Caenorhabditis elegans: one gene and its partner. The protein of the gene in region 1 purifies or fractionates together with the protein of each later gene. This does not show direct contact. Each region holds a gene or a part of one and is shown on either strand. Other genes may lie near its edges.

Region 1 (5,604 bases):
ATATTCGTTCGTTGCCGAATGATATAAAGAATACAAAAAGAGAACAAGGTTATAAAGATAAAAAGGACAATCTAAAGTGTAACACCCATTGAGGTGGTCTGACTTGAATAAGAAGAACATGTGAATGGTTTGGGATCTCTGTGTTAAAATTGAAAATTGATAGATAAACCTGTTTTTTGATGGGTGAGGTGATAGGTTCGAAGGTTGGTCGTAAATTTTAAAGTTTTTTTCATTTCTTCTCTTAGGATTTTCATTTTTATATGGCTTGGAATTGATCATATTATAATGTTCAGCTCGATCTGAAGCATAAAGTTTTTTAAGGTGAATTTTATGCCTTTCTTTACTTTTGTTAAAACTGTTTTAAATAATTTTTCAAAATAAACATTTTAAAAGAAACTACCATAAACTTTTTTGCTCATCGAGACCTATCTGAATAACTCTGTGCGCCTTTAAGAAAGTATGCCAAAATCGTTGAAACTATAATGCAATAACTACAAAAAAAATTAAAATTCTCTTGAGAATTCTCGCACAAGTTTTGAAATGTCAACACTTACACACCCTAAAGCTGTAAATATAACAAAATTTTGAATTCTTGAAAAAAATACAAACTCGGAATTTCAGCTATTTATTCAAAGTGGAGCCACTAAACAAGGTCTTGAAAAGTGGTTTTTGACAGTCCATTGACACTTTTGGTTTCAGTTCTTTATCGGCACAAAGATAAGAAACAAAAAAGACAAAGAGCCTATAATAAAACAAGAAGTGGACACACAACTAAAAGTTTGATAAGTTTTTTTCTCTATTTGGATATTTATACTTCTAATCCAGTCTTTTGTTCAGCCGGAACTATTCAGTTGTGCATGTTGTTTGTGATTTTCTGGACAAACGTATTTATTTTACATGTGAGAATGGAGGAAGGATTCCGGGGGCGAATGATAAGAAACAAGCTCTGGTTCCCTGTATAAGGGCTAAATAAAGTTGGGATGCAATTAAAATAAAAGAGAGAGAGAGAGAGATATGATATCATATCTTTTTCAGTATGGAATTGAAAGATACGGTATTGAACTAAATATGTGTGCCTGGCAGAAAACATCGGTGCACAGCACCAAAATGAGTAGGGAGAGCATTAGAAAATGGTTAACGAAAAATCGGGAAATTTCTAAACGTGAGGAAGCACAAGGCCGGCGACAAGGGTGACAAGTGGATTAGGGAAGCTAACTGATGGATGATCTCCTGAACATCCTCCCATGTCGATATGAGAATACTTCAATGGGTGAGAACTGTTTGTGCCATGTTCGTCAATGCGGCTAGCCTGAAAAATTGTTTCAAATTTTATTCCAGAGACAGAAAATTGATCAATGAAATTGTTAGTTTATAATTTAAGGACGAAAATTCATATTTCATATTTTTTGGCTTTCTGAGTAATTTTTAAATTTTACTTAAACGACAAATTTCATAATTGAGAACGTACCATTTGCAAGAATGCAGCTGGCGTCTGATGACCTCTGAGGGTAGCAACTGATGGCTTTGTATTTCCCTGCCGAAGATCAGCCTGTTCACATTCGGCCATATGGAAAGCGAAATCCTCTGGATGAAGTCTGCTGATCTCAATTGGTTGTCCAAATTCATCTCCGACATTCTGCACACGACGAGCCCATCCACTTGCTTTAGCTGGACCATTATCCATAATAGCTGCGTAATATCCGTATGAAAGAACTTCGTGTCCGGTCAATGTGGCAACAGTGAACAAATGCGGATTTTTAGCATTCAAAGCTTCTTCCTTGGCAAGAGTGAGGGGGTCAAGCATTGTAAGTCTTCCTTCAGCATCAGTGTTATAAATGTGAATTCTCTTTCCACTTCTGGAAGTGATAACCTCATCACAAGTATAAGCATGAGATCCAATACTGTTGCGAACCATGCACATGTACCCGACAGCCTTAATGTTCTTTGGTTTCAGAACATCGATAGCCTTGAAGAATCCACCGACAACTGCAGATCCGTACTTGTCACGGCACATTCCGAACATGTGTCCTCCAGTCTTCAAGTCACAGCCTCCAGTATCAATGGTAACTCCCTTTCCAACAACGAAGAATGTATCCTGAGTCTCTCCTTCACCAACATATTCCAATCGAATAAGACGAGCCTGATGCTCCTTGACACAATTGGCGGCTCTATTGACAGCAGCCATCAATGGGAAATCTTTCAAAATGACACTCTGATCGTCGACGACTGTTACTTTAATGTTTCCATTTGCAAATGCACCTTGGATATACTCAGCTACACGTGGTGGAGCCATGCGTTCTGGTCCAGCCTCTCCAACATCACGGCACACTGTGAACGAAGCATCGTAAGCTTCAACAAGCTTTTCCAAACGGGCAGATGTGTCACTGTTTCCGATCTGAAAAAATATATTAATTGAAATTTGTTCTACCAAAACTGAAAATTTCGAAACTTACAGCCAATAATCCCAATTGATTCAACTTCTGCTTGTTCTCCTCTTCACGAACATTGAGTGGAGTGTATACTGGGGTAAGAGCTCCGAGTGCGGCAACAAGTTCGGCATTTGGGAAGCGAGAATTTGGAAGTGTGATGAGAAGTGGAGATTTAACACCAGCAGAAAGAGCCCTGAAAATAGATAATAATTATAAACTGACATCATTAGATATGACAGTTATTCTAGACCAACGTTCAAACCGCACCTATGGTGTTATTCACGGAAATGACGCAGTTCGCCCCCACAATCAGTTATGCTGATCTATGCTTTCCTCCGCACGTTTTCTGATAACTGTCTTCCATAAAGTCTTATCATTTTTTCTCCAAGTACTACGAGAATTAATAAATTAGCGCGCTCTTAGAATTAAAATCATCTAAGCCAATTGTTCTATTATTTGCTTAAACGGTGTAGTCATTTAATTAATACGCTTCAAAATGATGTTGGATGCACATTAGTACTAACATAGAAATTCCCTTCCGAGCAGCAGCCTGGTAACGACGGACATCATCATAGTCACGTGACACATTTCCAGTTCCTGATAGAATCAGTCGTCCAGATGGAACGACAGATGAGTCGACTTGAACGAGAGACGTTGAGTTGAACGCACCAGAGTGTAGCTGAAAAGGAAGATTAGGGTATTATTAGAGATTATTGAGAAAAGGGCGAACCTTTAAGAAATTGTTAACGGCTGGAGCGATTGCGGAGACCTGTTGGATCGCTCCGAACTGTTGAACATTGTCCTGACTTCCGACGAGCACGACAGCATCAAAAGCGGCGTCGGCGATTGATGTCGCGCGGACTATTTTTGTAGATAGGAGGGATTGAAGTGACATTGAAAAGGAAATATACCCTGAAAGCGATATAAATAAAATGAGAAATATGAAGGCGGGAAGAAGGAGGATATATAAGAAATTGAGTTTCAAGGTTTGAAGAGAAGTGGTTATGAAGTTTGTAGGAGCAAAAGAGATGGCAGGCTAGTTCTTTTCGATAAAGCCATAAATAGAAAATACTGCGCTCATTGAACGAAAAGAGTTCAATTCAGTCATGTGCACGCAATTCTGGAATAAAAATCATTAAATGAAAAACGATGTGCGTCTTTAATTAACGCTTATCAGTAGCATATGTTGAAACAAGGAAAAGGAGGGACACATCTGCGATGTCATCTACTCTCTCAGCTGGCTGACTGACAGGCTGATAAACGCCGTCAAGTCGGCTGTCTGCTAATTTGATTTATAATTTATTGCGTGTTTGTACAAGCATGGGAGAGCACTGAAATCACCGGCAGACACTGAAACTTTTGGAGCGACTAGTCGCTATAAATGATAGAAAGTGGGCGGAGATTCGGAGAAAATGAAATTGACGTAGGTTTCCTGATGGCGCCAAATTTCGAGACTTTTCCAGAGGAAATTAGAGAAATATGTGACTTATAATTAGATTTCAAGGAAAACCTGAGCACACGTCATGAAAATAATGATATTAGAACTTATTTAAATAAACGTCGAGGTCGATGTCGAAATTTTTATTTTGCGGAAGAATCAGAGAATGGTCTCACAGTAAAATGATCAGAAATTTGAGCGCAAAAAGATTGCAAAGCATACAAAATTGACAAAAAAACCTATTCTGTAACAATGCGTTCTTTTGTAATTATAGAAACGGATACATTGAATTTTGTTCTTTTGATAGAAACGGAAACAATTAATTTTCGCGAACGTTTCGCAGCAAACATCACATGACAACAAATCGATTTCCATTTTCCGCTTAGAAATCTCGAAAAAAGCAGTATTGGTCGAGTGAGTTTTCGGGCTGTCTATTGATAAACACTGACCCGTTTATACACATTTTAGCGGAAGACTGGTTGACGTTCTGGTCTTTTTCTATAAAATGAGTATGGGAAAAAATTCCGCAAATTTTTTGAATTAGAAATGGGAATATGAAAGTTCGAAACTATAAATTTTCGAGCGCTTTGCATCATTCGACACCATAGGGCATGTTGGTTCAGGCCGGAGGCGATTAGGTCGTCAGTTTTCAGAGAAATGTGTTATCAGGTGTAAGACATACACACAAATATTCACACTTACACGCGGGGCTGTGCAGAACTTGATTTGCGAGCCAAAAAATGTTGTCATCACGGAATTTCCCACCTTTATCGCGTTTTCGAAGGTGTACTATTTTGTGACTGACATTCCAGAAGCATTATTGTGATCAAACGATCAAAAATAGAAGGAATTTAATATATACGAGGAGAAAAATCATTAAAAGATATGGAAAAAAAGGAAAAGTGCTGACTAAATAGTGAGAGCTAAAAAAATTATCGAAGAATTTTGAGCAAGGGTACTGTAGATTTTAAAGGCGCAGATGCGACCAAAGTGATGGGCATCGGCACGAGAAGTACAGTCACTGGTTTTTAAAATTCTTTTGAATCATTTTCGAATATATTTTTCTTTGTCTCTTTCAATGTTTTTCATTAAATACCAGATCATTTCTAGACATTCTGAAAAACTAAATGTAAACTGAAGCTCTAGTAATTTGATAAAACATTATTATGTTTCAGTTCTATCGCATTTCACTATTTTCGGTAAGATTTATATAAATTCATTGAGAAACCAGAGAAACTAGGAAAAACAAAGCCAAAATAAACGAGAATGAGTCTATTCTCATCTTTTAAAGTGAGTGAAAGAGAGACGAGACGCAGAGAAACTGCAATCGATGCGTCAGTAGTGACAATCTTGCCCCTTTTTCTATTAAATGTGTTCAAATTCGATTTCCACGTAACCCGACCGGTTTTCCAGCGTTTCAATTTTACGGAGAGATTATTTTATAAATTTCGATCACTTTTAGGGATGGCATCGGTGTTGTCATCCTTCTTCCAACGGGATCCGAAGTCCCAATTCCCATATGACATTCCTGGAGCAGAAGAACACTTTTTCGATCGAGTTTCGATCGGAAATAGCTTTAAGAAAGTGAGTTTTTGCATTTTTAGCTGTTCAATGAATATTTTCAATAAATATTGTAGGCTGAACCCGGTGAACTCGCAACAATCTTCTGGGACAACCGAAGTTCAACGTTAAAACAACAAGCACAAAAGCTGAAAACCATGCGCCATCCTAACATTA
Region 2 (6,059 bases), on another chromosome or scaffold:
CTGTCAATGTCTTCCTCTCCTCCAATTTCTTCTTACCATTGGCCAACTTGAGTTTCTCGGTTAGTTTTCAAATTTCTAATGTTAAAATAGGATTACTCTCATTCTTAAACTTCAAATTAAATCTTTCATAGAACCTTACTTCCTTGTATCACTACAATGTTTACGTTTAATTATTTTATTTTGATAGAATAGGAAGTGTTTTAATGTTTTGTTTTGATGAAGAGAAATACTTGGTTATTAGAAAAACCAAATTATTTTACAGTTTATTCAACCTGAAATCTTTCAAATTACAAGTACCACTTTGACAAATGAATGAAAATATGTGCTTCGAAAATTGAAAAGGCAAAATATTGGCTTTATAAAAATAAAATATTTTCAGGCCTACTTGTTCCACATGATTCCAGTGGTACTCACTTACATGCTCGTTCCCTTCCCAATATATTTCAATACTCAAATTCCACTCTTCATTCATTGTTTTGTTCAACTTCTCATTACATATTTCTTTGCCATAATATGCACAATGGTCAGTGAACTTCCAGCTCTGAATATCGAAAGGTTATTGCTTGCCTCTCCACCAAAAACTACACTCAAACCGAGTCCACCAACAGATTCGGAAATTCAATTAAAGCCTTCCGATAAGGCTTAATTTCTAATTGTTTTAATTTTTGACTCAAAAATTCATTTTCATCAGGCACGGGACATTTGAGGTAAATAGTGGGTGATCATTTCCTTGTCAACCCGAATTCATTACGAGTAGTCTCATTCATTTCTTAAATTGTTTCATTTCATTCCGCCATTCACTTTTTCATTTGTTAGCTCCTCTTTCATTTGCTTTACATTTCTTTTAGATTAGTTGAAATTTTTCTGTTCTTCTTTCTTGATGGTCTTTCAGTAATTGATTATTCCCCCGGTCATCGACTGTTTTTCCTTCGCTTCTTCTATTTTTATCATGTAAATAGAAATTCTTGTTTTTTGTTCATTCAAATTAAAACCCATAAAAACATTAAATAAATTTAAAATGTTCATACAAAACGCATACGAAATTACAATAAATCATAAATTAGCATGAAATCACAAATTGATGGATCTACGACTGATGGATCTACTTGCTGAAAATATAAATAATTTGATAAGGAAACGGATCAATTAAATTTTTGACCTTTTCTCTCCAATTGATTTCGACAAAAGTTCCACAACATTTTCGATTTTTGTCGAATTCGAGTTAATTCCAAACGTTCCGATTCTCCAGATTTTACCAACAGTTGCACCAAGTCCTCCAGCAATCTAAAATTAAAACAAGTTACGGTTTTCAAACTTCAAATTGGTGGATTTTCGAATTTACCTCCGTTCCATTTGTCATCATTTTTCCAGCAACATCTTTCCAGTCAACACCCTCCGGTACTTTCACAGTAGTCAAACATGGCAATCTCAATTTCTCATCCACTACAAATGGTTCCAATCCATGCTTTTTCAGAGTAGCATACAACACTTGAGCATTATCTTTATGTCTTTGGATTGATTCATCAATTCCTTCTTTTGCAATTGCAGAAAGTGCTGCACGAAGAGCATATACAGTGGAGATTGGAGCAGTGTGGTGATATCTGAAATTTTTCAATAAATTTCATCATTTCATAGTTTTTTCCAACCTTTTCAATTCTCCATCACAACCCCAATAGTTGCCCAATTCGATGGCATCAAAGTAGAACGAGGCGACGCGTTGTTTTCGGTTCCGGATTTTTTCCCTAAAAATGAAGAGGAATGCAACTATATGTGTTTTGTTTCTTATTCTTACATGGCTCGATCGGAGAATGAGATAGGCGCAAGTCCTGGTGGAGCGTTGAGAACTTTCTGGGTTGCCGAATAGACACAATCAACTTTCAGATCATCTGCTGCAAATGGAGTTCCACCGAGGGACGCCACCTGAAAATGAAAACTTTGATCATTAAACATCTATTTTCAATTTTGAGACTCGTTCGGCAAATTTCAATTTTACTACATTAAAAAACACCTTAAACTTTTCAGAAACAAAACCGTTAATTTTTGAAACATTGTAAGATTTATAAATAAATGGTGAGGATCGAGAAAGTTAAAAAAAACCACAAACCGTATCAACAAGGAACAGAGCACCATGCTCTCTGCAAGCATCTCCAATTGTTTCCAATGGTTGAGCAACTCCCGTTGAACTATCTCCCTGACAGACAAAAACCAAATTTGGTTTGTAATCAGCAATTGCCTTTCTGATATCCTCAACTGGAACTGCTTGCCCCTGCGGAGCAGTAATCTTCTTAACTTCGATTCCCATTCTATCAATTTTTAATTTGTAACAAGAATATTGATTTTAAAAACCTATTAGCCAAATCAGCAGCTCTTTGTCCCCAAAGTCCAATTTCTACTACAAGGAATTTGTCCCCGGGCTCGAGAAGATTAACCATCGCGCATTCCATTCCAGAATGACCTGAATATTAGATTTGATATTGAGAAAGTTGATATATGCACACTAACCAGTTCCACTGACAGCAAACGTATACTTATTGTCGGTTTTGAAGACATACTGAAGACCCAGACGAACATCTGCCATAATCTGAAATTAAAGCTTTATGAATTAGTTTTCGATTTACTATTTTTCCAACAAAACATAAAAAGATACCTGAACAAATTCTGGATGCAAGTGTCCTAACAAATTGCGAGATTGGGTCTCAGCAATCGAATCAGCCATGTTCGATGGTCCTGGTCCAAAAAGTTGCCGCGGTGGGACAACCATATCTTGCAGAAGAGCTTTTGGTGGAGCACGAGACGACATTGATGACTGGAAAAAAAGTAAAATACATAAATACTCGAAGAACATGGTAATCGATTTGGAAGTGATAATTTGAGAATATAATAACTAAAAGGTCGTTCAACACGTGGTTCTCAAAACAAATGTTATTAAAAACAAAACATTAACGAAAAACTGATCTTAAATTTAACTAAAATGTTTTCCATTTCGCAGTACTGACATGGAACTAATATGAAATGCGCTCTATTTGCATGTAGAATGGAGTAGAGACACAGAGAAACCAATTGGTCAAGAGGAGATTGAACGGTGTGTCCAAATGGTCAAGAATTGGTTTGATGTCTAGGGGAGAAGGGTTGAAGGGTCGAATGCCAAACGGCATACTAGATGGTTAGAAATTTTCCATAAATCAAAGTGGGTTTTTTTTTCACCAAATACTGTAAAAATCAAGTACATGATTTTAGAGTTTGAACTCGAAAGACATAATTTTCATGCTGTTAGATAATTTTTTTTAAGGAAAAAACCTTCAAAAACTTTTTTTAATGAACAATGGCATATAAATATAAAATAATTGCAGTAACTAAAAAGATTGTATCAATGAACAGTTTCATCAATGATAACACATATGTTGATGTATGATGACAATAAACTCTCAGAGGCGGTTCCAATTTGTGTACTCAATAAACCTATTATTTTTGAACCAATTGAACTCACCTTAATTCCAAATCCAAAAATCGAGACTGAAGGTCTTAGAAATCGCGTTGAAATCATATCTTCGAAATTAAATCAATTGAGGAAGAATATTGAGGTAGAGAAGAAAACTTGAGGAGGTTGTCCTGCAGGCGGCAAATATCTCTGTGACTCCTCAAAGTACATTGTTCTTTCATTTTCACTGACTGACTGACTGACTGAGGGGCTATTTTATCACAATGTATAAATGACCAGTCGATGGTATAAATGATAACGAGAAGACACCCAGAGATCGGTCAATTTTTAGAGAAGAGTTCAAAGAAACACTTGAAAGTGCACTGGGGAAAACCTCGTGGTTATTTTATAGTTTATGGAAATTGAGTGGAAAACAACACTTTTTTGCAATTTGGTTTGAGCATAATTTTTATGGATAGTTCATTGGCACATTTCCGTTAATCTAGAAAATAACGTTTCAAGATTTAGGAGATCATCCGAAAAAAACTAGTGGAATTTTTTAAATACACAGTTTAAAAATCAGTTAAAATTTTAATAAAGTGCGAACAATAAGCTATAATGGGAACTAAAGTGGTCTAATCAATGACGTGGAATTAGTCAGATGGCTACAAAAAAACATTAAAACATTTTTCAAAATTGTCTACCAAATAATGAAACTAGAAAATTTAAGGACTACCAACTTATCTTACTCAAAACAATACAAATCGAGAAAGATTACCAACTTCAAGAGAGTTTAATTTGAACTTTACCTCGAACAACGAGCAGATCCAGAGAAGTTTAGACTTCGGAATAAATTTTTTTTCTAGTTTCATTTCCATGAAAATAGCATTTCACGTCTACAGAAATTGATACGATGAATAAATTTAGAAATTAATATTTAAAAGTTCATTGGTTTGTGTTAACTTTGGAAAAATAATAAAGCTTTGAGATATTAACTTCTGAACATTTTCAAATTTAGCTTCTACATCTTATTCCTTGAATTTCGCCTAGCTTCGTCTGAAATCTCCTCACATTTTTCTTTACCCAAATCTATAAATGAGTTTTTCAGCCAATTCACTTGTATGCCTGGAGATACCTTGAGAATTCGGAAAGTACTGATTCGTGAAGAACACTTTCCAGATCACACGAGTTTATTGCACATTTTGAAATGTTTTGAACAATTGCACATTTTATTGATAAAAATAAGAAAACTGCTCAGGTTTTTCGAAATCGAGTTGGATTCAATTACAGGTCAACTCAAATTTGTGATGTCTCGTGATCTTTGAAGCTCTCCGGTTTCAGTGTCTGTTTTTGCTGTGAACACTATCTTTCTCTATCTTTTTTTTCTTCAGCTTCATCCTTTGAGCTTTTTCGTCTTCATTTCTTCATCTCCTCCCTCGCTTTTAACTTCTCACACTGGATCACAAGCGTGCCCTTCGATCCCGATCCTCTTGGCCGAATATCTTTACACACCGACTTGATGTCTGCGTCTCACCAATCATTTTGAATGTTTCGAGAGGATAGAGATAGTTGCTCATCGCCCGGGAGTCACAGCTGCCTCTTCCTGCTTCTCCTCCACCTCCTCTACATTCCAAAGCAAAAAGAGTTTGTATTATTGAAGAATCATGTTGTTTCTGCATCATTCTAGATCACTCGTCATATCTAACCACACTTTCAAACTTTCTTGCCCAACGCAAACCATTTTGAAAATGTGTTTCATTTGTTTGCCGAACAAAAATGCATCTAAAGAGCTGCCCCTACCTCTTGATGGATCATGCGAAAAAAAGGCGGGACGTTCAAACTGTTGACTCTTTTCTTTTTTCGTTTATCTTATCTCTCTCTCGTGTTGCTCTTTGTCTCATCTTATTGTAAATTGATTTTCGAAAAATTTCAGATATTCTAATCACATTTTCCAACATTTCAATGGTCGCTGCCACAGAAATGGATGGAGAATCTATAGTTGATATTAAAGTAAGGCATAATTGTAATGATAAAAAACGAGATTTAGAAATTTAAGTTTTTGATTGTGAAAATGAGTAATGAGTAATGAAATTAGGCATTGGAAAATATACTAAATTTTTGCAGTAGTTGCCTACTTAAAACGGCTTTCACACCAAAATTTCTTCAGAAAAGATTTTATAGAATTCGTTTTGTTTTCCAGCATGATCAAATTGAAGATGACGAGACAGAAGAAAAAGAACCTCCTGTAATGAAGTTGGATTTCGAAAAACTATTCAAAATGGCAGAAGATCCAGATCTTGAGGAATTGCTAAGATCACCATTGGATCAGGCTCTAATCAATTTAGAGTAAGATTTATTAATTAAAAAATCAAAATTGATTTTTCGACATTTTGTAAAAAAGGAAATCGTTCATACCATAAAATTTTCAGAGACGGAACTGAAATTCAAAAGCTCACATCAATTCGCACATTTCCTGACATTCTGGACACCTCCGACGGAGAAAAGTGCCTTCTAAAAATGCTACCAGCAATTCAAAAATGTTTGAAAATTGAAAAATCAAACCTAGACCTTCACTGTGAAGCTGCAGTTGTCTATAAGTCAATTATTCAAAATGAGGACCTCGTGAAAAAATTTCAGTGAG

Evidence for each region.
Region 2: the proteins of lap-2 (region 1) and agxt-1 fractionate together in Caenorhabditis elegans (co-fractionation; one large-scale study listed by BioGRID). This does not show direct contact.

What each region holds. Positions count from the first base shown.
Region 1 is NC_003283.11:13,041,449-13,047,052, reverse strand, and holds lap-2 (Putative aminopeptidase W07G4.4), read right to left. Parts: upstream 3,342-5,604; 5' UTR 3,325-3,341; coding exon 3,160-3,324; intron 3,109-3,159; coding exon 2,954-3,108; intron 2,623-2,953; coding exon 2,454-2,622; intron 2,396-2,453; coding exon 1,469-2,395; intron 1,310-1,468; coding exon 1,157-1,309; 3' UTR 612-1,156; downstream 1-611. Other genes in the region: scyl-1 (Protein kinase domain-containing protein), read left to right, coding at 5,332-5,451, 5,505-5,604.
Region 2 is NC_003280.10:8,843,808-8,849,866, reverse strand, and holds agxt-1 (Alanine--glyoxylate aminotransferase), read right to left. Parts: upstream 4,270-6,059; 5' UTR 4,228-4,269; intron 3,638-4,227; 5' UTR 3,545-3,637; coding exon 3,488-3,544; intron 2,807-3,487; coding exon 2,648-2,806; intron 2,582-2,647; coding exon 2,503-2,581; intron 2,456-2,502; coding exon 2,347-2,455; intron 2,304-2,346; coding exon 2,105-2,303; intron 1,921-2,104; coding exon 1,793-1,920; intron 1,743-1,792; coding exon 1,647-1,742; intron 1,602-1,646; coding exon 1,343-1,601; intron 1,285-1,342; coding exon 1,160-1,284; intron 1,110-1,159; coding exon 1,103-1,109; 3' UTR 965-1,102; downstream 1-964. Other genes in the region: oac-46 (Acyltransferase 3 domain-containing protein), read left to right, coding at 1-59, 380-646; F46C5.6 (Serine/threonine-protein phosphatase 4 regulatory subunit 4), read left to right, coding at 5,381-5,428, 5,619-5,764, 5,848-6,054.